6 linked regions of the Cricetulus griseus genome follow. Each later gene encodes a partner of the first gene's protein in a complex. Links are inferred from orthologs where the notes say so. Each region holds a gene or a part of one and is shown on either strand. Other genes may lie near its edges.

Region 1 (4,255 bases):
CCAGGCTCGCAAGAGAAGGCGGCAGGAACTTGTTTTAGCGCGGGTATCTTGCAACCCGCAACTTCTCCAGAAACGGACAGTTTGCTTCTAACCACTGGACATAAACGATTTCCATTTTTATGGGAGCTTTTAAAGACTCGTGTGTGTGTGAGTGTGTACTGTGTGTGTATATATATGTGTGAGTACACGTGAGTGTGTACACGTGTATATGTGTGTACACATGTGTGAGTGTGTACACGTGTGTGAGTATGCACACGTGTGAGTGTGCACACGTGAGAGTGTGTACACGTGAGTGTGTGTGAGTACACGTGTGTGAGGGTGTACACATGAGTGTATGAGTGTGCACACATGTGTCTGTTTACACACGAGTGAGTGTGCACACGTGAGAGTGTGTACACGTGAGTGTGAGTGTGAGTACACGTGTGTGAGGGTGTACACATGAGTGTATGAGCGTGTACACATGTGTGTACACATGTGTGTGAGTGTACACATGCGTATGTACACGTGTATGTGTGTATATATGTGTGTGTACACACGAGTGTGTGAGTACACGTGTGTGTGCACACATGTGTGAGTGTGCACACGTGTCTGTTTACACACGAGTGTGAGTGTGCACACGAGTGTGCACACGCGAGTGTGTACACGTGAGTGTGAGTACATGTGTGTGAGAGTGTACACATGAGTGTGAGTGTGTACACATGTGTGTACACATGTGTGTGAGTGTACACATGCGTATGTACACATGTGTATGTGTGTATATATGTGTGTGCACACATGAGTGTGAGTACACGTGCGTGAATGTGTACACGTGAGTGTGTACACATGTGTGAATGTGTACACGTGTGTGTGTACACATGTGTGAATGTGTACACGTGTGTGTGTACACATGTGTGAGTGTGTACACATGAGCGTGTACACATGTGTGAGTGTGTACACATGAGCGTGTACACATGTGATGTGTGTATATATGTGTGTGTACACATGAGTGTGAGTGTGCACACGTGAGTGTGTGAGTACACGTGTGTGTGAGTGTGCACACATACAGGAGGGTCTCGTTAGTCACTCTTGGCAGTTGAGTGTCCTCCAGGTGTAAGCGAGCGTTTCCCAGGAACACACTCACGTGGGGCACAGCCAGACACACGGCTCTGGCTGCGCAGACGCGCGGGGGACGGGGTTGCCATGGCAACGCGGGCGGGGGCGGTGCTGAGCGAGGGCGTCCCTCACGCCGCGTCCCCGGGGACCCCGCGCCCCTGCCCGGAGCCTCCTAAACCCCACAGCGCGCACCGACGGCGCGGGGGCACATCACGCGGCTGCGCTGGATCTCGCGAGAACGGGAGCGGCGCCCACGCCCGGCGCCGCGCTTCCCGCTTCCGCCACACCAGGCGCCTCCCGCCTCTGGGAGGGCCGTGTCGCTCCGTGGTGGCGTCACTTCCTGCCTCCCGCGCCGGCGCCGGCGTCGGAGCCCTGCTTCCGGTTCCCGCCGCGGCTCGCGCTCGGCGCTCGGCGGAGTCGGAATCATGGCGGCCGCGGCCACGATGGCGACGTCGGGCTCCGCGCGGAAGCGGCTGCTCAAAGAGGAGGACATGACCAAGGTGGAGTTCGAGACCAGCGAGGAGGTGGACGTGACCCCCACGTTCGACACCATGGGCCTGCGGGAGGACCTGCTGCGCGGCATCTACGCCTACGGTGGGCGCGGGCCTCGCGGCGCGGGGAGGCCGGGCGGGGTGGCGGAGAAGGTGCGAGCCGCTCGGAGCGCAGGCCCGGCTCTCCCGCGGGCCGCCCAGCCAGGCTCGCCCGGTCGCTGGGGTGGCGGCAGCCGAGTGCGAGCCCGCCCCGGGCCCCGAGGCCGTGGGTCCCGCAGGGTCGGGCCTTGCGGGGTTTCAGCCCCGTTAGGGCCGCGGACAGTTAGAGGAGAGCGAGCCCCGGGGCGCACGGAGGACGCCCGCGGCCAGGCTGTGAGAGGTGTGGTGAGACTCGCTCCTAGACCACCCCGAAGCCTCTGCAGTTGAATGCGGAAAGGCGGTAGGGTCGGGTTTGCCGTTTGAACGTTTAGTTTGGTGTCCGGATTTGGAGGGAAGCGAGTTGGAGGAGGAGGCGGGACGATGTCCGGGCCGCAGAAGAAGGGATGCTGGGGATGCTTTGGGGCTGAAGGGTCTGCTGGTGGCAGTGGCAGGCAGAGTGCAGCCCTGCGTCATGTGGCTGCTGTGTGCTTAGGAGCATTTGAGGGAGGCTGCGCTCTGTCTGTTTTGTTAGGTTTTGTTCTTTCCAGACCTGGGGAAGGGGTGTCTTCATGGTAGCCCTGGCTGCCCTGGAACTCTTTGCAGACCAGGCTGGCCTCAGACTCAGAGATCTACCTGCCCCTGCCTCCCAGATGGTGCTTTTGTTCTTTTTTTTTTTTTTTTTTTTTCTTTTTGGGACAGGTTTTCTCTCTGTAGCTTTGTAGACCAGCTGGCCTCGAATTCACAGGCCTCCTGAGTGGTGGGATTAAAGGCCTGCACCACCATATCTCCCCCCCACCCTTGTTTTGTTTTTGAAGCAGGGTCTCTACATAGCCCTAGCTGAACTGGAACTCACTATGCAGACGGGGAAGGTGGGTCTTCCCACTTTAAATGGTTTTTAGTTAATTCCAGATGCAGTCAAATTGACCACTAAGATAACCATCATAGGTATTGTGTTGAATTGGGAAGGTGTGCTAGCTACAACCTTTTGGGGAGGGCGGTTGTTTTGAGACAGGGTTTCTCTGTGGCTTTGGAGGCTGCCCTGGAACTCAGGCTTGTAGACCAGGCTGGTCTCGAACTCACAGAGATCCAGCCTCCCAAGTGCTGGGATTAAAGGTGTGAGCCACCACTGCCCAGCTGCTAGCTTAAAGTATAAAAATGAACTATAAGGCCGGGCGTTGGTGGCGCACGCCTTTAATCCCAGCACTCGGGAGGCAGAGGCAGGCAGATCTATGTGAGTTTGAGACCAGCCTCGTCTACAAGAGCTAGTCCCAGGACAGCCTCCAAAGCCACAGAGAAACCCTGTCCCGAAAAACAAAAAACAAACAAACAAAAAAAAGAACTATAGCTTTTCAATGTAAGTTTTGTCTGCCTCTTGAGTGCTGGGATTTAGGGAGTGCACAACCATGCCTCGTCTGTCTAGGGGTGGTGCCTAGATAATGGGGCTACAGCCAGGTGAGAGCAGCATGCGGTGCCCACGTCATGCTGGGGACGGCAGGCAGCAAGTGGATTGGAGTGCTCGCCAGTAGGAAAGGGAGCAACCTCTGTGCTTCTGGATTTATGACTTTTATCGCAGAGGGGGTTTCATGTGGCTTAGGCGGACCTGGGACTCCTGGTGCTCCTGCCTCTACCTTCTCAGTGCTGCTCTGTAGACACTGTCCTCACAGGTCATCTTCCAGGCCAGTCTGTAAGGCGTGGTTCACCTGGCGGCCTGGGCTGGCAGTAAGAAGCCTGTATGTATGTGTGCCCCCAGGGAGCCTGTGCTGTGTGGTGTCTACGCTGTCACAGTATGAGGGCTGAGTCTTTTTCCTCTCTGTATTTGCAGGTTTTGAGAAACCTTCAGCGATCCAGCAGCGTGCTATCAAGCAGATAATTAAGGGGAGAGATGTCATTGCACAGTAAGTTGTGGGTGCTGAGAGCCAACTTGGGTCAGTGAGGCTGTGGGAAGATGAGTCTGCCTTGTCCTCTCTACACCCCCAGCTCAGCATTGACTTTTTTCCCTATCTAGAAAAGCCCTCCCCCCTTTTTTTTAGCCATGTATATTTTGGGAAGGTGCTTGGTGCTGTGGGTCATATCCAGGTCACTGCACATACTGAGCAACTGCTCTCCTACTCAGTGTAGATTTATGCAAGATACTTTTTTTTTAAATGTTCATTAGTGTTTTGCCTCCATATATGTCTGTGTGAGTGTGTCAGAAGCCCTGGACCTGGAGTTTCAGTCAGGTGTGACCTGCCATGTGGGTGCTGGGAATTGGACCAGGGTCCTCTGGAAGAGCAATCTCTCCAGCCCAAGATACTCTTTTAGTAGCTTTATTTTTTTTTTTTTTATTCCCCCCTCCATATGCTGGGTACTGAACTATACTCCAAACTGTTATTTGCCTTAATTTTATTTTCTTTTTTTTTCTCCTTTGGTTTTTTGAGACAGGGTTTCTCTGTATTGCTTTGAAGCCTGTCCTGGAACTTGTTCTGTAGACCAGGCTGGCCTGGAACTCAGAGATCCGCCTGCCTCTGACTCCAAAGTGCTGGGATTAAAGTGCA
Region 2 (4,140 bases), on another chromosome or scaffold:
TGCCTTGTAATAAAACACTTTAGTGCTTCTAATCGTGTACTAGATGTTTTCTTCAATTGCTCAAGCTTGTATTTGTGCAGAAGAGTCTCTTTGATGCTATAACAACTGAAAAATATATGATACAGGACTCCCAAAATTATGAAGCTACAGCATAGTTATAGTCTTCCTGGTAAAAACAGTGGCTGTGGAGAGGGAGGCAATACTTACATTATACAACACAGAAGACATCAAAGGTCAATGTTCTTATCCTTAAGGTAGAGAAGAAATATCTAAATGTAGCTACACCACAAACAGATTTGCTGGAAAAGAAAAAGCCTGGGGTGTACAGAAAGCAGGAGATACTAAGGCCTACTCCTGAAGGACAAGTAGGAATTACCCACGTAACAAGAGAAAGTCATTCTGGATAGGTAAACACATGCATACAGGCTGAGAGACAAAAAAAAAAAAAAAAAAAAACCCAAGGTGGGTGACTAAGTCATTTGAATAAATGGAACATATAGAAACTGAACATAAATGAGATGGACCATAAGAGACCGATGAAGCTAAACCATGAAAGGCTTTTTATGGATATAGCAGAGCTTTGAAATTCTCCATCATAGACAGTACCAGACTCTTAACAGGTTCCAATTCTAAAATTAAGTTTGAGAAAGGGAGGGTGGTTTTTCATTATCTTAGATCCACAAAGGACTAAAGTTAGTCTGACAACATATAGAGAACACTCCTCTGTCTCTTATTCTTGGAACCACCAAGCTGTCTGTCATAATCTGCATCAAGGCAGCACTATTAGGTGCTGTGCCCTTTTAGGCACAGAGGAAACTGGACCCTGATGGTACAAACATAGGAGTGTATCACAGGCCTTCATCTAACCTTCATACTTTGTATCCTCCCCTTCCCCAAATCAAATCTGGTCCTCAGCTTTACTATTTAAATGTAGAGCTGAATATATTCTGCTAACTCTCATAGAATGAACTGGAATGACCTTTCTGATCATTATAAGTTTTGTTTGTTTTTTTTCCAGAGCACAGTCTGGCTTAAAGGAAATCTCTCCACAGAGAAATTTACAACATAGCCTCCAGACACACAGCACTACTACCCGCCACAGAAGCTCTGGTCTAGAAGGAAAGTACTCAATAAACTGGTTCAGAGAACCCAAAGGATTACTGAGCTTTGTGCAGCTTAAGCCATTAAAGAGTTAGGTTCAAGCACAGATTAAACATCAGTTCATTCTGGGTCTCTCATAGCAGCTCATTCTTTAATCACCGAAGCTTTTTCCTAAAGAAGGAAGCCCCATACTTGTTTTTCTGCTTTCTGCTCACTAGGATTTACTGATGTTACAAAAGGCAAAGGTGTGTTTCAATCCACTCCTCTGCCCATGTGCTAACTTTTAAGAAAATCCTTCCAAAGTTTGTGCTGTGGTCAGCATCCAAATGTCTTTTCCCACATTTACCTGGGAGATGTAAGAAAATGTGTAACAAGCCTGAGGAGCTGCTGAAATCCATACTAGAGTCCTTTGTGTTCCCCTACCCTCTCATGTTAGTAAGCTCAGACTTAAACAGAAAACAAAGGAAATTTGATAGTATAGCTGTATAAACTAATAACCACTTCTTTTTGAAACTAGTCTATGCCCTGACTGAGTCTGACTAGGCCAGTCATGAACAACTTAGGATGTTAGGGATAGAAAAAAATGCAGTCTATTAAATACAGTGCACAATTCACCGAAAAAATGTAGCTCATTTTTACATGTAAGGGTGTTTTGCCTTCATGTACATTATGTGCACAACTCAAGTGGCTGGTGCCAGCACAGCTCAGCAAGAGGCTATCCGGTCCTCTGAAAACTGGCATTACAAATGGTTGTAATTCACCATGTCGGTGCCTGGAACTGAACCCAGGTACTCTGCAAGAGCAGCAAGCACTCTTAACCTCTGAGCCATCTCTCCAGAGGCTTACCATGCTTAAAATAATTCATGCTTCCCCAAATCATTCTCTGCTTCCCTCAAATAAACGTTGGCGGGTATAATGGATAAAATTGTCTCGCAATTACAGCAGGTGAAAATAACTAGTACTGCATACCTATGTTTGGGACTTAAGAATAGTACAGATATTTTAGCGTTAGGATTAACGACGAGAGATAAAACGCACACCAAGCGAAACATGGAGCACTAGGGATAAGGCACACGACAGAGGTTCAGTCAAGTCGATGAGAAAGAACCACAAATGAAAATGTTAACAGGGTTGGCCAGTGGGCTATTAAGTTGAATGAGGCAAGAGCGTTACTACAGTTTATTAATGCCAGCCCCGGGTCCTGAGGAGCAGGGACTTCAGCAAGCGGGACTGCGAGGATACGGCCCTGGGAGCTCCCAGGAAAGGCGTCCACCCGCGAGAACCTAGACCAGAGCCCATTCGCTCAGTCCCCTCCACCAGCGCCAGGCCCGGCCCGCTCACGCCGCACCGCGCGGGGCGCGGGCCGCCGGTGGAGACGGCGCAGCCACGCGCGGAAAGCGAGGCCCACCCGGCCAGCACCCACTCGCATGCTCCTGTCCTCTACACGCGATCCAGCACCCCGCCGCCCCCACTCTGGCTGCTTGTCTATCCCGAGTCTCCAGAGTTCGGTAATTACCTAAGGCTCCACCGTGCCGCCATCGCACCGGAAGTGCGTCACTTCCTCTTCCCGGGTGAAGGCAGAGCGAGAAATTCGTGGAAATCTGGTAGTAAATTGACTCTAGTATGTTACTCTAGTAATGATAATACCGTGAGCAACACCAGAGTCAAAGCAATCCAGCCATCCACCCTGTCCCTCCTTGCCAAGACTGTGCGAAAATAGAAGTCCGTGTGAACTACAATGTCCAGGATCCTCTGGTAGCGCGGACGGAAATGAGAAGTAGTACCCTGCCAGAGATAACCGCGGAGCTTCATGGGAATTGCAGTTCGTAGTGGGTAGGCGGTCACAACAGAGAAACTTGATTGTGGGTTAGGTTTCCAGGCATGCAACTTATTTTAACAATTTCTATTACCATAAAAAGTAGCTCTTAGCAGTCACTTTCTGTTGGCTTTGTTTTTTGTTTGTTTGTTTGTGTTTTTGCAGTGTTGAAGCTTAACCTTAAGATACGTACTAGGTAAGTACTCTACCATAGAACAGAGCCTTACCATGAAGATCTTAAAAATGAGTAGAGTTCCCTAACCTGGTGGAGTGGCACACACCTTTAATCCCATCACTCTTAGGAAGCAGTGGCAGGTGGATCTCTGTGAGTTTCGAGGCCAGGCTGGTCTACAATGTGAGTCCCAGTGTTATGGTAGAAGTTTTACCCCAGCCCCTGACATCCATATATCCAAAGAATCTGGAATGTTATGGTGGAAGTTCCACCCATATCCCTTCCCCTATCTCCCTCCAATCCCTGCTTCATCTCAGAAAGCCTGCCAAATGATGACCCTCCCAGAGATGCTCAAGACCACTCCACAGGGTATTTAAACTGCTCCCCGGGTAATAGACATGTGGTTTTCAAGTCTTTCTTTCTGTCTCCTCTCTTGGGAGCTGGAAGTCCATCAGGGAGTATCCATTAAACATGGACTTTTCTCTAATTCGGTTTGATTTTGTCTGACATGGATTGCTGCATCGGTGGAGAGGCTTATCCGGGTATAGAAACCTTTCATCCAGGATAGCCAGAGCTGTTAACACAGAGAAACCCTTTCTCAAACAAGGTAGAAATCTCTTTCAGGCTTTTGACAAAAAGCTTTACCAAACGTCTGTTTAGCAGGGGGGAAAAGGTGACAAAATGTTTAGTTCCAAGATTTTAAAATCAAGTGAATGGAACCCAACATGTTGGTGCTCACTCCCAGCCCTTGGGAGGCCAAGGCTGGCATATGGCATATCTGTGTGAGTTCCAGGACAGCCAGAGCTACATAGTGAGCCCCTGTCCAAAAAAAAAAAAAAAAAAAAAAAAAAAAAAAAAAAAAAAAAAAAAAAAGAGCAAAATAAAAAGCAAAAAGCAAATTGTAGATAGATTGTTAGATTGTGACTCTTTGGTCTTAGGGAGGTACCACCTGGCATGCTTAGGATAAGGAGAACACTACTTTGTAACGCTGGAAAGTAAAATCTGTAAGAATTCACTGAACTGGCATCAATTATACTGTTTCCTTAATCTT
Region 3 (4,231 bases), on another chromosome or scaffold:
CTTCCTTCCTTCCTTCCTCCCTCCCTCCCTCCCTCCTCCCCCCTCCCTCCTTTCCTTCCACAGAAAACATCTTGTTGGGTAGCTCAGTCTGGTCTAGAATCCATGACCCTCCTGTTTCAGCTCCCCAAGTGCAGGGACTGCAGGAAATTGCCACTGAACCTGAATTAATAGTTCTTTTTATTGCTCATCTTTATGGCATGTATCAGTGTTCACCACCACGACTTGATTCTTGCTTGTCCATTCACCTGGTAATGGGTATTTGAATTGTAGGAGGGGTGATTCACAATCGATTTTGTCCTTTTTTAAAATGAAGAGAGTAAACAAAATCAAGTTGGGCATTTTCCTTTCCTTCCTTGTTGGATACCAAAACCAGGAGAGAATCCTTCAATTAGAAAAAGAAAAAAACGGGTGTGTGTGTGAAAATAAATTTCATACATTTTGGTTTTAACTTCTTTTTTTCGGTTTTTCGAGACAGGGTTTCTCTGTATTGTTTTAGAGCCTGTCCTGGAACTAGCTCTGTACACCAGGCTGGCCTCGAACTCACAGATCACAGCGATCCACCGGTGTCTGCCTCCCGAGTGCTGGGATTAAAGGCATGCATCACCACCAACCGGCTGGTTATGGCTTCTTGAAATTACTATCTTGTGTATTTCTTGAGTCTCTGTAAATCCTTATTTCATTTCATTTTATTTAATTAGTGAATTTATTTATTGGTTTTTAGAGAGAAAGTTTCTCTGTGTAACCCTGACTGTCCTGAAACTCAGGCTGTACAACAGGCTGGTTTCAAACTGTCATAGAACCGCTTACCACCCAAAAGAGACTCTAACGCTTCTGAAAGCATACTTCGGTTAAAAAAAAAAAAAACCTTTTCCTTATCTATTTATTTATTTATTTACCTATTGATTGTTTGGTTGATACAGGGCTACACTAGCTAGCACTAATTTGCCTTGAGCTTGCTATTTAGATTAGACTTTGAACTTGCTGTGATCCTCCACCCTCAGGCTCCCCAGTGCTGGGATTACCGGCACTAGCTACCACAGGCTGCTCAAAACCTTGTGTGTGTGTGTGTGTTTTTTTTTTTAATTAAAAAAAACCCTCTAAAAAAGTAACATTAAATGACCACGTGTAGTTAAAATTAGGGACCCTGAGACATCTGCATGATTCCCACGTTCTACTACTAGGCGGGCAGCTGCTTTGCATGCAGGGAGTTGTAGTCCTCTCGAAACAAGATGGCGAAGTTGCCCGCGAAGGGGCGGGCCCCGAGGGAATGTGGGCCGCTAGGGGATTGGGCAGCGCGGGGTTTAGGCAGGCGGGAAGTAAAGCCCAGGTATTAAAACCTTCTCCCCAAGTGAAGCTGGGTGCCCTAAATTCTCGCGAGATCTCGGAGAGCCCAATGGAACGCCGGGCTGGGCTTATCACTAGGGGCGTTTGTTAGGGGCGGAGCTCCTGAGGGCTCTACCCGCGAGTCGTAGGTGCCCGGCGTAACGGCATTGCAGCTGAGCCACGGCTCTGAGGAGCGTGAACCGTGGCCATGAAGGAAGAGAAAGATCACAGGCCTAAGGAGAAGCGAGTGACCCTGTTAACGCCTCAGGGTGCCACAGGCGGCAGCGTGGGAGCTACTGCCGAAGGCGCCAGAGGGGAAGATAGGCACGATCGCAACAGAGACAGGAAAGACGCTTTGAGCAAGGTGCTTATCGGCTGGTGGCCCCACAGAGGGCGGGACGTGTACACCGATTGGGGAGGTTGGCTGGGAATGGGGCTCTTCCTCTCCCGGCTTTCTCTCTCGTTTCTAACTGAATGAAAATCGCTTCGCACTGTCTCACGCACTGGTGGGAATGGGATTAGCGGATTCGGATCAAGCCCCTGAAGTGGGGCGTGAGGGAAAGGGGGGGGGGCTCCCAGATGACAAGGCTTTCAGTTAGAGCTGCGGATGTGGGGTGGGTGGTCACGGGACGGGGGAGCGGCAGTAAAGATAGGGGGAACTTTAATTGGGTTGAATTGCTAAATAGCCCTTTCAACAGCGGGGGTGAGGGGTGGGAGTCATTGTGGTGTTAAGTGTTAATGGAGGCGACTTAGGGAATTGCGTTTAGGGACCTGATGACCTAAAGCGGCAGACCTTGAAGGAGGCGTTCAGCGAAATCTTTACATATGTTAAGCAGAATGGGGAGGGGGTTCTTTCAGCGTATGTTACACCTGTGAGAGACATGCTTCCGTTACAGCCACGAAAGATCGGAATTTGGCTACCTGTTTACCAGTAGTTCCGTTTTTTTTTAAATGGATTTTAAACTGCGAGGTTGCCATTTAAGAACAGAACCTAAGATTGTCCTTGCGCCAGATAGTTCTCATTTCCCAGAGGTTTTATAAACCCCCATTCTCTCTACCTTTGACTAATTCTGAGCTTGGGCTGCAGAGTATTTTCAGGGTTATTCTAAATGCTTTTGTATTTTAAAGCCGATCAAGAGCCATGATTCGGGTATGCCAGAAAGTTGATGTGTACTGATTTTCTTTTCCTCATTCATTTCCTAAGGTGGTAATTCGAAGATTGCCTCCCACTTTGACCAAGGAGCAGCTTCAGGAACATCTTCAACCTATGCCTGAGCATGATTATTTTGAGTTTTTTGCTAATGATACTAGGTAAAAAAAAAATTAAAAATGGGGGTGGAAAACACTCTTCTGTACTTTTTGTTTTTGAGCTACTTTCTTTAATATATACATGTTTGCAATTCAGCCAGACACCTGCAACCATATTTACACAACTGTTTCCCCTCTACAGTCTGTATCCTCATATGTTTGCCAGAGCATATATCAACTTTAAAAACCAAGAAGACATCCTTTTATTCAGGGACCGATTTGATGGCTATGTATTCCTTGACAATAAAGGTGAGTATAAGATTTAGGAGAGTGGCCATTTTTACATTTAAGAGAAGGTGTGCAGCTGGTTGTGATGTGTGCCTATTATCAGTGCTCTGGTGACAGAGGCAAGTTTGAGGACATTCTGGGCTACATAGAATGACCCTGGGAAGAGCACTCTTGAGGGGGGTGGGGGTGGGGGAGAGGGAGGGAAGTAGGGGGGAGAGCAATGTACAAAACAATGCTTTCTCCATGCCTGTATAGGTACTTTTTCTAAATTATTTTGAGGTAAAATGTGCAACATTTGAAGGATTTTTGTAATCCTGAGATATTTTTATTAACTTATTTCTTTAGTTTGGTCCAGTGAATGAAGTTGCCACTGATTTCTCCTTATGTAACACTTTAAACTTGTTTCAAATGTTGACTTTTTGTTTCAAAGATATTAACTAATATCCTTTATGTCAATAGTCCTCAGAATACTGTTTATTTTTCCTACAAAGTTGTATGTAGCTAAAATGTCAAATTTGCTCTCCTGGGCTGAAGATGTAATTATGTGTGAGGCCCTGGGTATCATCCCCAGCATGAGCAAAATAGACACACAAGTTCTTGGTTCCATGATATACAATGTATAACAATGAACTTCTGTCTCTCTCTCTCTCTCTCTCTCTCTCTCTCTCTCTCTCTCTCTCTCTTGTTTTTTTTTTTTTTTTTTTTTTTTGAGATAGGGTTTCCCTGTGTAGCCTGTCCTGGAACTAGCTGTTGTAGACCAGGCTAGTCTCTAACTCACAGAGATCCGCCTGCCTCCCGAGTGATGGGACTAAAGGTGTGTGCCACTACTGCTCATCCCTGACTGAACTCTTTTTTGGTTTTTTGAGACAGGGTTTCTCTGTGGCTTTGGAGGCTTTCCTGGAACTAGCTCTTGTAGACCAAACTGGTCTCGAACTCACAGAGATCCGCCTGTCTCTGCCTCCCGAGTGCTGGGATTGAAGGCGTGCGCCCACCACCGCCGGGCCTGACTGAACTCTTATCTCATTTTTTAAGATTTATTTACTACACATACAGTGTTCTGCCTGCACACCAGAAGAGGGCACCAGATCTCATTATAGATGGTTGTGAGCTACCATGTGGTTGCTGAGAATTGAACTCAGGACCTCTAGAAGAACAGATACTGCTCAACCTCTGAGCCATCTCCCAACCCTCTTATCTCATTTTTTATTTGCTATCTGTTACTTGCAATATTTAGTTAGAATGTATCCAGGTTGGCATTTGTCATCTTTCATTTGGTTTTATGATCATAGATAAGTAAATAGGGTTTCTTGTCTAGTTTTATTTTCTCAATTACTTCAAGTTTTCAAATATTAAATCCTTGTTATGGTATATG
Region 4 (3,015 bases), on another chromosome or scaffold:
AAGCTGCTGCTCGAATTCCTTTAGAGATCAGAAGAAATGCTGTGAGAGCTGCCTTAAGCATCAGCATGTCACACTTGAAGAGAATACTCAGTGCTTTGTCACAGTCACGTTTAGTTTAGGGGCTAGATTGAGAAAATAATCTTGTTTGTTGTGAACAACTTTAATCCCAGCAGTTAGGACACAGACTGAGGCAGGTGGATAGATCTCTGTGAGTTCAAGACCACCAACCTGACTACACAGTGAGATCTTGTCTCAGAAAGGGGAGGGGGGTGAGAACAGGCCTTAAGAAACCTGACCCATTCTAAATGGAAGCTGTGGAACATTTTTTTAATTATTAGTTTTTATTCTTTTATTAGTTCAAATTAGGAACAAGCTTGCTTCACGTGTCAATCCCTTCTCCCTCTCCCTCCCCTCCACCCAACATCCCAACTGCCCCTAGCCATCCCCCCTCCACTCCCCAGGCAGGGTAAGGCCCTCAAAAGGGGCTCCCCAAATTCTACCACATCATGCTGTGGAACATATTTAAGTTTGCTAGCTCACTTTTATATTATTGAGTGTTTATCACTCATCTTACACGAGGAAAGTAGATTTGCTACTAAAAGTGGGATATGAAATTGGCCTTCCCTTTAAAATTGCTCATGGTGTTCTTTATCTCTGCACAGGAAAGCTTAGATACGCCAACAACAGCAATTATAAGAATGATGTGATGATAAGAAAAGAGGTAAGTTGTTCTCTCTCTCTCTCTCTCTCTCTCTCCTTTTTTTGTTTTTTTTCTCATTTGAGATGGGTTCTACCTTTGTAGCCCTGGCTCTCCTGAAACTCACTGTGTAGAACAGGCTGACCTTGAACTCAGGGAGATCCACCTGCCTCTGGCTAAATTCTTTTCAAATGTCTAATATTTTACATTTTGTTCATTTATCTTGTCTGTATTGACAAAAGTTATTCATAGGTTCTGTTTCAATGAAGAAACCAATTTATAGTTGCAAAGGTTTCTCTTTTAATTACATATTACAGCATTTTTTAAAAGTTTCTTTTTCTAACGTGTGTGTGTGTGTGTGTGTGTGTGTGTGTGTGTGTGTGTGTGTGTTGTGTCGTGTTGTATTGTATACACATGTAGCAGCATGTATGTAGAAATCAAAGAACAGTTGGTAGGAATTGGTTTTTTCCTACTATGCAGGTTCTAGGGATTGAGCTCAGGTCTTTAGTCTTGGCTGCTTTTATCCCCTTGATGGTTCTGATTTTAGCATTTTGTAATATTTATAGCCTCGTATCATTTAATTCATTTTGTGAAGTGTGATTTTTAAATGAAAGACATGAAAGTGTGGCCTGGACTTAGCCTGCCAGCCCCTGGGTGATTATGTTGTGTCCTTACAATATAGCTCTTACGATGTTCCATTAATTGCAATAAGCAGATTGTTCCTGTTACAACTGGCAGACTGTGGAGCCTTAAAGCAGCTAGTTGTGAGAAGAGGGAAGGGTGTGTGATTAAAGGCAAGAGAGCAGAAAAAAAATTGTGAGATGGATGAATTTGGAATCAAATTCAATTTTTTGCTCCTATTCTGTTGGAATATTTAGGATTTATAGCTTGCTTTTATTATATCTTGCTGAACAGTGGGAAGACAGATGAACCTTATAAGATTTTACTGTCATTGGTTTTCAGGCCTATGTTCACAAGAGTGTAATGGAAGAACTGAAGAGAATTATTGATGACAGTGAAATAACAAAAGAGGACGATGCTTTGTGGCCACCCCCTGACAGGGTTGGCAGACAGGTCTGTGCTTCGTGATTTTTTAAGTGGACAGAGTCAGTTGATACAACGACTGTGTGTTATCTTATACATTCATCATGGTTTCTTATTGAAAGTTTGATTATATAACTTTGTTCTCTTTAAGATTCATACATGCTGGGCAAGCAAGTACTCCATCCAAGTTACACCTCCCAGCTCTTAGCTTGAATTTCTTTGCTATCTTCAACTGTAGAGGAGTCAGCACATAGGTCTAAATTTAGACAGTATTCTACATCTTTTGTCTAGTCTGTCCAGCCAAAGTTAGGATAGTTTGACGCTGCTATGTAAATTATCCATTATTGTTAATTATTTCTATTGTAAATCAGTACAATATTGCTAGCTAAATTTGAGAGCTAGTTCTTATCACTGAGTGCAGCAATTCACTTTTTCCAAATTTTTATCTTTCAGAATTTGTTTATTTGAATGCCCCAGAAAAAGTCTTTTTTTTTTTTTTTCTCCTTTTTTTTTTTTTCTTTTTGTTCAAGTGGACCACTGTATTTGCCTCTTATATTCCCTTCAGAACACTTGATGTTTCTCAGAGTGCTCCCAGAGGACTCTGCAGGCCCAGCTTCACTCTGTATAAAGACAGTTTGGTTTCTGAATTGGGAATTTTCAATTCTCAGAGAAATGAAATACAAGGCCTGGGAGAAAGAAACATTTATTTTCATTTTTCTGTGTTCCTGAGGATTGTACTTTATATCCACTGCTTTCTTTGACTAGAAGACAATGTAGAGAGATCTAATACATGCTCAAAGTAGCAGAGACACAGCTGTTCTGTGGCAAGAGCCCAATGTAGAGTATGGTATAAGGAAAGAGAGGTAGTGATCTGTGTTTCTAAGCTGATATACTTCTTTTAGACGGTAGTTTGGTAGTATATATCAGAAAATGTCAATATTTTCCATCTGTTTTTGCCTTAGTGATCTAATTTCTGAATTATCAGTTCTAGAAAAATACCTGCAGATATGGAGAGGGCGTCATTAGAAATGAAAATGTTTCTCTCCTAGGGAGAGCCAGTGCTTGTATTTTGCCCTGGTGATGTGTTCTCATGATGGGTAGCAGGCCTGTTCCAGAAATTGCCACTGGATAGTTAAACCAAGAATTTTGTGATTATTAGAGAATCTTAGCTAATTCGTAATTTGCTGTATCTCATAAAGTGCAGAGTTAGGCCTTTTGATTAAATAACTAGGGCTATCTTTTCTAGCATCTGCTTGGTAATTCAATGTAAAAAC
Region 5 (4,153 bases), about 1.3 Mb from region 1:
CGAGTTGAATGTTCATGGGACGGCCTATGGTAAAGAATACAACAAGTCTCACTCCAGAGGCTCTGAAGCTGACCCAGAAGGCACCACACCCTGGTCTCCATGCAAGCTCTAGAAAGGGCCTTTGTGTGTCTCCAATGCCCCCAACAAGGTACAAGGCCTAGAGAGCCTGGTGGGAAAATAAAGTGGCAATAACACCCCACCAACACCTCCTCACTCCTTCTCAGTTCAGGCTAAGAGGGCTGTTTGGTCAGGTGTCCAGGGTGCTCATGGGTGGACAGGTGTGGGTAGCCTGACGGAAGAAGAACAGGTACCTTTGTCTTTACGACTACAGCCCCGCACTCAGGTTGTACTATGGCGGTTCTGAGAAGGCTTCACAGAAGTGAATCTTCCGGAAGGAGCTGAAGGAGGGGAGGGATGTAGCTTGCTGGATGGGGGTTCACAAGAGGTTGGTCCAGATGTGTGGGGCAGCATGAGAGGTGGCAGAATGGAAGAGAGAGACAAAGGGGCAAATGCAAAGTGTCCTCAGCCACAGGGGCAGCCCATATTCCTACAGGGAGAGGTGCCAGCCCCAAACTCCGTAAGCCCCAGGCATCCTGGGCCCAGCCCCATATACTCACCATCTAAAGGGACACCATTGTACTGTTTCATAGCCTTCAGGGCATCTGCCTTCCGTTCAAAGTGCACATCTGCTGTCCCTAAACTTCGGCCAGAGCGATCGTAGTGCACGGCTGCTTTCTTCAACGTTCCAAACTCTGCGAAGAGTTCCTGGAAGTGGACAGGGCAACTGTTAGCCAAGCAGTTAAGCTGTTTTCCCTCTAGAGGCTCAGTTCAGTAGCTGTGAGGGTTCCTGGGTGCTACTTTACTGACCACCACCCAGAAAAGGGGCGGGGCAGAGGCAATCAAGAGGTGAGGGAAGGGTGTCACTTTGAGCACCTGGGTTCCTGTCCACGTTGGGACGTGTGTGACTGTACCATGATGCAGGTGAAGGAAGCACACAGAAACTACCTCTCTCTCAGCAAGGGCACTCACAACCTGACTAATGGCTGTTTCATCAGATAGCAAAGGCCAAGAGAAAAACCAAGGGAAGCTGTTCATAGAGCAGACAGCTCAAAGGGCCCACTGATTTGGGGAGCTGTGACCCAAGCCCCTCCCCCAAAGGCAGATTCTGGCTCACCTTTCCCTCTCCTCCTACTCAAGCCTGCTGCAAAGTCTGAAGTCAAATGCGCCATGGAGACTGCCCTGACCTCAGGCAGGCTGGGAGTTGGAGAGGGAACCCAGAGTGTGGGGCTACTTCGGCCGCAGGCACACAGCGGGAAGTGAAGTTCACCAAAAGCGGTTTCCAGTGGATGCCAGAAACCACCTTAAAAAAAGTGTGGAGACACTGTGAGTGCTCACTGGCCTTGCTCTATGCTCCCTGACAAGGCCAAATGGCGGGGCTCTGAGAAAGGGAACCCAGAAAGGCCCAGCACCCATGACCCAAAACTAACTCCTAAAAACCTGCTCTGTTAACTCTAATTGCATTTGAGGGCCAGAAGAAAGACAGAGAGAGGGAGAGAGGATAGAGATGGGGGGGGGGGGAGAGAGAGACAGACAGACAGACAGACAGACAGACAGAAAAAAAGACTTCAACCAAAGGTATGAGAACAATGCCCCTGGTAAGACCCAGGAAAGGTCAGTCTGGAAGACACACAGCCACCATTCACCCCTGTGCCTTCAGACATGTGGGGGTGGGGAGAGTTTTCCTTCTCATAAGCTTACTACTACAGGCACAAAGCCTGAGAAGCTAGCACCCTCGGTCACACAGGGACCGGACTTGTGGCCAGTCTGTGCCCGTTAGAAACTGTAAGCCTTGCAGACGGCAGGTGCTCGTGACGTTAGCAGACAAGAGCCACTCTGGGGGCACACCAGGCTGCCTTCCAAGCAGCCTGACCTATCAGTCACATTCAAACCCCAGGGGATACTACTTTTTGTGAGGGCAGCGGCTGGCCCTTGGGCAGCCTGGGGGAGCACAGGCTCTGATCAGAAGGGATTCTGTGTGTGGGGATAAGCATGCGGACGGCTCTGGTCTCTTACCTGAATATCTGCGTCTGACACTCCAAAGTCAAGGTTTGACACCAACAGTTTTCCGCCGGTCTCCACGCCGGCTCCACCCCCGAAGCCGCTGTCGAACAGATCGTGCTGCCATTTGTCTGGAAGTTGTTTCGGCTGAAGGGAAAGAGAGGTTCGTGAGCGACCTCGTCTCGGGCGCCCCGATCCCTCCCCGGCACTCACACTCTCTCTCTCACGGCGGCCCGAGAGCCCGGAGGAGACGACCCCCACGCCCGCCGCTCCGCCGCCACGAGGCGGGACCGGACCGGACAAAGCGTCCCGGAAGATCCCGGCCTGTGACCGGGGCCTCGCTCACCGCGCGGCGTCGCCCCCGCCCACCCTCCGTTCCGTTCCGTTCCCGCGGTTCCCGCAGGACGCCCGCCCGCCCGCCTCAGGGCGCCGGGAGCCCGCCCCGCCGGCGCCGCGCCTCCCGTGCTCACCCTGCTGTAAGGAGCCGGCCGGTTCCTGCCGCCGGCGGCGGCGCCGCGAGAGATGGCGGGCCGGTTCCTCAGAGGCCCGCCGCCTCGGTTCACCCGCGCGGCCGCCTGCACCGCCCCGCCGCGGCCGCCCTGGGCGCCGGCCCTGCCACGGCCCCTGCCTCCGCCGCGGCCGCCTCGCTGGCTCCGGTTCAGCTTGATAATATCGTCCAAAGACATGTCCATTTTGTCGGCCATGGCGGGCGCGGAATCGGGCCTCAGATCGAGCCCGCGCGTCAGCACGTCGCTAGGTCACTTCCGGAGCTTCCCCTGGTCTTCCGGCGTCGCGGCCCCCGAAGCTGCCCCTGATTGGCCTCGGCGCGCGCGGAGAGCGGAGGGCGCCTGCGCTGCGCTCAGGAGGACGGCCCGCGCGAGTGTGTGGCGCCCGGCGCGGCGCGGTCGTTTTTATACCTCCCGCGCTCCTGCAACGGAAGGGCGGGGCGCCGCGAGATTAGGTGGAGTGGGCGAGGCGTGGGCGGGGCCTGGCCTGGGATCCGCCCTGCGCAGGCCGGAAGGCGCCGGATCGAGTTCGGTCCGTCCGCCCGCCGAGTCCCTGAGCTGCGAGGCGGGGGGCCGATCTGTGGATCCGATTTGGGGTTTGTGGGCTCGAAGGGATGGTTTTTTAAAATTTAATTTTATTTAAATTTAGCAAGCTGATGGCTTGTCACGCGCGGGTTGTGAGTGAAAACCGAGGTGTTTTTCATGGATGCAGTGGTTTTTGTTTTTGTTTTCCTCCTTTGGTTTTGGGCGGATCTGCCTCCGCGGCGCTGAGGTTAAAGGCGTGAGCCAGCCTGGCCCGCTACCTGGGTGCACAGCTCTAAAAACGACCTTCAACATAGCAAAACAACTTGGGAGCCTGGCTCCCTGGAGGCGCCTAGCACGCAGCTCCCCGCCTTAAATGCTCAAGTGCCGTCTGTGGTAGTAATACAGAGTAACTTTAGCCAGGAAACCCTCTTCCCTCAGGTCGCACGCTCTGCTGCCATGAAGGTGAAGATTAAGTGCTGGAATGGTGTGGCCACGTGGCTCTGGGTAGCCAACGATGAGAACTGTGGCATCTGCAGGATGGCGTTTAATGGCTGCTGTCCAGACTGTAAGTGCCCCCCCTCCCCCGTGCTCTCAGAACTTCGGCCAGCTCCACCAGCCTTGAAAACCTTGGGTTTCCCAGCACTAGGGAGGCAGAGGCAGGAGGATCTCCGAGATTCCAGGACAGCTAGGGCTACGCTGAGAAACCCTGTCTCGAAAAACTAAGAAAACCAGAAAATAAAACCGTGGGTTTTACTTTCCATTTCCTGAAGGAAAGTTGACAGAAAATAAACGAATTCTTCAAACTCACTTTTGTATAAAGACCCTATCCAGCATGGTGGCAAACATCTGTAATACCAGCATTTGGGAGCAGAAACAGGTAGCCTCTGAGTTGGAGGCTACATAATGAGAGTCTGTCTGTAAAAACAAAGAAAAGCAAATAAACAAAAACAACACTTTTGTTTTTGCCAAGGCATGGTGGCACAGACAGAGGCAAGAGGAGGCTTGAGTTTGAAGCTTGCCTGGGATACATTGTGATGATTGGTCATTCTCTTAATTCCTCAAAA
Region 6 (4,041 bases), on another chromosome or scaffold:
ACAGTGTGTGTGTGTGTGTGTGTGTGTGTGTGTGTGTGTGTGTGTGTGGCTTAGAATCACTGTGGGTAAGGTATCTGGGAGTGGGAATCCAATGTCCACTTTAACATCCTCCCACAGCACCTATCCTAGACAGCAGTGAGCCTGGGAGACAGGAGAGATGAGAGGCAACTTGTGCCTAAGAGGTGACACTCTTGGAAGTTGAGGTAGGAGGGTCACAAGTGCCCCGTCAGTCTGCACCTTGCCTATAAATTGTAAAATAAGCAAACGGCAGAAGGGGATGTTGGCAGTGCAGACAAGTTCCAGGCAACGTTGTGGATTGGGGAAGGAGTCATTGAAAACGGGGGGGGGGGGCGGGGGGTGTTGTTTGTTTTTCGAGACAAGGCTTCTCTGTAGCTTTGGGGTCTGTCCTGGAACTCGCTCTGTAGACCATGCTGGCTTCTAACTCACAGACATCCACCTGCCTTAAGGATTAAAGGTGTGCACTAACACTGCTCGGGGAAAAGTTTTCTTAAAAGAGACAGCCAGAGCTGTTAAACAGAGTAACTCTGTCTGGAAAACCCAAAACAAACACACAAAAGTAAAGCGAGCCGGGCGTTGGTGGTGGCGCACGCCTTTAATCCCAGCACTCAGGAGGCAGAGGCAGGCGGATCTCTGTGAGTTCGAGACCAGCCTGGTCTACAAGAGCTAGTTCCAGGACAGCCTCCAAAGCCACAGAGAAACCCTGTCTCAAAAAAAAAAAAAAAAAAAAGTAAAGCGAACTTTTTCGAGACAGGGTCTTACAGTATGCAGCCTCTAGCCTCAACTCGTGACTCCTGGGCGGCGTTAAGCTTTTGAGTGCTAGGCCACAGCTATTCGCTACTACACTGCCCCTCAAACGCAACTCCTGATTCAGACCCTGGGGGTGGGGAAGGGGGCAGCGTGCTCAAAGATGGGGGAGCCATTTTTTGCCCATTTTACTGTGGAGACCACCTGGGTTCAGAGTGTGAATGGCCTCTTTCGTGTGTCTTTACATTGCGGTTGAGCCTGACTGGACTACAGATCGCAGGGTTGGCCCTAAGCCTATAGGTAAAGCTGCCCCGTGGAAGCCCAGGACGTAACGGAAGCGCAGGACCTCGCAAAGCACTCGATTTCCGGAAAGGAGGAGCGGTGATCCGGATCTCGCCGCAGGACGCGGGGGCGGGGTAGTCTCGTTCCCGCCTCCCAAGGGTGAAAAAACTGTTATTAACGGCGCGGTTGTGGCGTCACTTCCGCGCGCCGCCGTTACGTCAGTAGAGGGCGCAGATCGTGGTAGTGTGATCTGTTCGTAAAGTTCGGTCTTGATTGTCCCGTGTGAGCCATGGAGAGTGACTTTTACCTACGTTACTACGTGGGTCACAAAGGCAAGTTCGGTCATGAGTTCCTGGAGTTTGAATTCCGACCTGACGGTAAGAGCGGCCTCCCGCCTACAAGGAAGGGAAACGGGACCTGGGGGAGGGCGGAGAGGCCGGGCCGCGGCTTTTGTGAAGGAAGGGACTGAGACCGGAGCTCTTGGGTTGTGAAAGGCGTAGTCTTTTCTTTCGGCCTCACTGGTCCTTTCTGTCCATACGCTGGAGCTTCTCCTTAGTAACTTTTGGGTTCTTTTGGTTTTTCGAGACAGGGTTTCTCTGTGTAGCTTTGGAGCCTGTCCTGGCAGCCTACTCGCTCTGGAGACCAGGCTGGCCTCGAACTCACAGAGATCCGCCTGCCTCTGCCTCCCGAGTGCTGGGATTAAAGGCATGCACCACCAACGCCCGGCTTCTTAGTGGCTTTAAAAAGCCAGGTTGTTAACGTTTCAACAAAGATTGATTGAATGTCCATCTTACACCGGGCCGTGTTCCACTCTGGGGACAGAGCCACGAAGATAAATTTCCCCTCTCGTGGAACATGTGTTTAGGTACTGGGAGAAACCATAAACAGTGATCTCCTGTAGTGAGGAGTGATCCGAAAATAGGGTCTCTTTTTCGAGAGCACTCTGAACAGTGGGTATTTGAATTGAGCCGGAATCGAGAAGGGACCAGTCAGTTTGTGAAGCTCAGGAAGAAAAGTCTTCTATCGGAGTGGCAAATGTAGAGGTCATAGGACAGCAAAGAACCAGGCATGTTTCAGATGGCCGTTGAGGTGACTGAAGGACAGAATTCTAGGGAAACCAGTAGGAGATGATGTTAGGTGTTTGTAGACCATAAATAGGAGCAGCAGGAAACAGCTTGAAGCTTATAAGAGAAAAGGTGTGATGATCTTCAGAAAGCATCCTAGCGCTTGGACACAGAATAGACATGAGATGGCGGTCGGGACTAGGACAGCTAGGACTATAGACGTGGAGAAGACTTAGGATACTGTTGGAGACGATCTGAATGTATCTGATTGATAATATTTTGGGACGGTTGTGGTGTGGTGAGGAGGCAAGGACAATTCTACTCAAATCTTTCCCTTTTTCAGTTAGTTCTCTATAAGATGGACAAGAACATGTAGCAAGAGGCCTGTGTAATTAGATGACTGTAGTTCTCTGATACTGTCAATAACTTCCCTCTGCCTTCCTGACAAAATTCAAACCCCTTACCATGGCATACAGCCAAGCTGAGTTCCTGTCTGCCTTTTCAACCCTACAATACTCTGCCCACACTACTTTGTTTCTGCCTGCAACATCCCAAGCACTTTTTAGTTTCCAGTGTCTTTGATGTGAATTTGGTCCAAAACACCATCTTCTCTATTCTTGGTCCCTTAGCCCACACCTACACTTCACATTCTTCCTATATTCCACCCACCTAAGTCACTTTATGCATGAAACCTGCTCAGACAGTCAGACTAAATTAGATGCTTCTCCCCAAAGTTCCCTGTTTTTTTCTGCCACATGACACTATATACCCAAACTAGCCTGGTGGTTGTACTCATGCACAGAAGGACTTATGAACCAAATGTGCTCAATTTAAAAGTATGCAGAAATAGATCATACCACAAGACCACATGGGCATGTGTATGTCGCTTCCTACCGTTTTCAAAATACTTTCAGCATGTTCTCTGTGCAGGGAACTTAGCAATTATCATTTCTGTTTACAGCTGAGATCATTGACCTGCTGAAAAGCTATTTGCCAGAGTCGTAAAAGAGCCTGCCTGTGTTCTTTTGCCAAATCAAAGTAACTTTTGCCTGAACTCTATTTCAGTGTCAGGTTAGTCTTCAGCTGTTTCATAATTTAAAGTGGAGCACTGTAAAGACTAATATAATAGCTGTGAATTGGGTTGAACATTGAATATAATGCCGGCTACAGCGGTGGTTGCCCACACTTTTAGTCCCAATACTCAGGAGGCAGAGGCAGGTGGATCTCTGTAAGTTTGAGACCATTCTGGTCTACAGATCGAGTTCCAGGACAGCCAAGAGAGAGAATTGGATATAATTTAGGCAAAGTTGGTATTGTTAGTAGGCTACTGAGTTGATGTTTTGTTGTAAATTGCATTTATTTATTTATTTATTTATTTATTTATTTATTTATTTGCCCCACAGGAAAACTTCGATATGCCAACAACAGCAATTACAAAAATGATGTCATGATCAGAAAAGAGGTAGGACCCTGTCCTTCACTACCAGTGAGCCCTTTACATTGTTTCTGCGCTCTCTGGTAATAGTAATGAAAAGTAAAGAGTGGAGAAACAAATACTTCTTTTTCTTTGTTTTCTATTTGGTTTTTTGTTTTTGTTTCTCAAAACAGGGTTTCTCTGTATAGCCTTGGCCATCCTGAAACTCCCAAGCTGGGTTTGAAGGTGTGCTCCATCACACCCAGCTAAGCACTATTTCTACACGGCTAGATTATTTCTCACATCTTTGGTTTGCATGTTTTTTATTTATTTATTTATTTATTTATTTATTTATTTATTTGGATTGCTGAATTAATAACTAGCAACTTTTTGAAATCTCTGTGTTGGTTTGAACCCTCAATATGCTCCATACTGACCATGTGACCTCAGATAAGTTCCCTGGCTAAACTTGGTCACTATACTTCCATCTGCAAAATGAGGGATAATAAAACCTAC

The links.
Region 2: the proteins of Eif4a3 (region 1) and Cwc22 are in contact, whole or in part, in a crystal structure (PDB 4C9B), measured with the Homo sapiens proteins. The link is inferred for Cricetulus griseus from reciprocal best matches to the Homo sapiens genes EIF4A3 and CWC22. Residues at the interface, in NP_055555.1 of Homo sapiens: Met43, Gly44, Ile72, Ile73, Lys74, Gly75, Gln98, Cys99, Met183, Gln213, Val256, Ala257, Glu259, Trp263, Asp266, Thr267, Asp270, Leu271, Tyr272, Asp273, Thr274, Leu275, Thr276, Ile277, Thr278, Gln279, Ala300, Asn301, Phe302, Thr303; in NP_001362958.1 of Homo sapiens: Thr129, Gly130, Gly131, Ala132, Tyr133, Pro135, Pro136, Ala137, Lys138, Arg140, Lys164, Asn167, Gly168, Ile170, Asn171, Lys172, Val173, Asn174, Ser176, Asn177, Ile180, Ile181, Glu184, Ala207, Ser208, Ile210, Phe211, Tyr215, Lys330, Arg331.
Region 3: Eif4a3 (region 1) and Upf3b share a complex: the UniProt entries of both Homo sapiens proteins name them as parts of the mRNA splicing-dependent exon junction complex. The link is inferred for Cricetulus griseus from reciprocal best matches to the Homo sapiens genes EIF4A3 and UPF3B.
Region 4: Eif4a3 (region 1) and Magohb share a complex: the UniProt entries of both Homo sapiens proteins name them as parts of the mRNA splicing-dependent exon junction complex. The link is inferred for Cricetulus griseus from reciprocal best matches to the Homo sapiens genes EIF4A3 and MAGOHB.
Region 5: Eif4a3 (region 1) and Alyref share a complex: the UniProt entries of both Homo sapiens proteins name them as parts of the ALYREF/THOC4-EJC-RNA complex. The link is inferred for Cricetulus griseus from reciprocal best matches to the Homo sapiens genes EIF4A3 and ALYREF.
Region 6: Eif4a3 (region 1) and Magoh share a complex: the UniProt entries of both Homo sapiens proteins name them as parts of the ALYREF/THOC4-EJC-RNA complex. The link is inferred for Cricetulus griseus from reciprocal best matches to the Homo sapiens genes EIF4A3 and MAGOH.

Annotation. Positions count from the first base shown.
Region 1 is NC_048600.1:131,838,114-131,842,368, reverse strand, and holds the start of Eif4a3 (eukaryotic initiation factor 4A-III), read left to right. Parts: upstream 1-1,455; 5' UTR 1,456-1,517; coding exon 1,518-1,686; intron 1,687-3,543; coding exon 3,544-3,616; intron 3,617-4,255. UniProt on the Homo sapiens protein: ATP-dependent RNA helicase. Involved in pre-mRNA splicing as component of the spliceosome. Core component of the splicing-dependent multiprotein exon junction complex (EJC) deposited at splice junctions on mRNAs.
Region 2 is NC_048599.1:97,135,506-97,139,645, reverse strand, and holds the start of Cwc22 (pre-mRNA-splicing factor CWC22 homolog), read right to left. Parts: upstream 2,801-4,140; 5' UTR 2,618-2,800; intron 1-2,617. UniProt on the Homo sapiens protein: Required for pre-mRNA splicing as component of the spliceosome. As a component of the minor spliceosome, involved in the splicing of U12-type introns in pre-mRNAs. Promotes exon-junction complex (EJC) assembly.
Region 3 is NC_048604.1:29,397,791-29,402,021, forward strand, and holds the start of Upf3b (regulator of nonsense transcripts 3B), read left to right. Parts: upstream 1-1,431; 5' UTR 1,432-1,531; coding exon 1,532-1,687; intron 1,688-2,527; coding exon 2,528-2,634; intron 2,635-2,773; coding exon 2,774-2,880; intron 2,881-4,231. UniProt on the Homo sapiens protein: Involved in nonsense-mediated decay (NMD) of mRNAs containing premature stop codons by associating with the nuclear exon junction complex (EJC) and serving as link between the EJC core and NMD machinery.
Region 4 is NC_048601.1:16,036,677-16,039,691, forward strand, and holds part of Magohb (protein mago nashi homolog 2), read left to right. Parts: intron 1-662; coding exon 663-721; intron 722-1,660; coding exon 1,661-1,771; intron 1,772-3,015. UniProt on the Homo sapiens protein: Required for pre-mRNA splicing as component of the spliceosome. Plays a redundant role with MAGOH in the exon junction complex and in the nonsense-mediated decay (NMD) pathway.
Region 5 is NC_048600.1:133,091,013-133,095,165, forward strand, and holds the start of Alyref (THO complex subunit 4), read right to left. Parts: upstream 2,801-4,153; 5' UTR 2,763-2,800; coding exon 2,529-2,762; intron 2,206-2,528; coding exon 2,074-2,205; intron 766-2,073; coding exon 618-765; intron 25-617; coding exon 1-24. Other genes in the region: Anapc11 (anaphase-promoting complex subunit 11), read left to right, coding at 3,546-3,654. UniProt on the Homo sapiens protein: Functions as an mRNA export adapter; component of the transcription/export (TREX) complex which is thought to couple mRNA transcription, processing and nuclear export, and specifically associates with spliced mRNA and not with unspliced pre-mRNA.
Region 6 is NC_048595.1:41,959,463-41,963,503, reverse strand, and holds the start of Magoh (protein mago nashi homolog), read left to right. Parts: upstream 1-1,241; 5' UTR 1,242-1,336; coding exon 1,337-1,424; intron 1,425-3,514; coding exon 3,515-3,573; intron 3,574-4,041. UniProt on the Homo sapiens protein: Required for pre-mRNA splicing as component of the spliceosome. Plays a redundant role with MAGOHB as core component of the exon junction complex (EJC) and in the nonsense-mediated decay (NMD) pathway.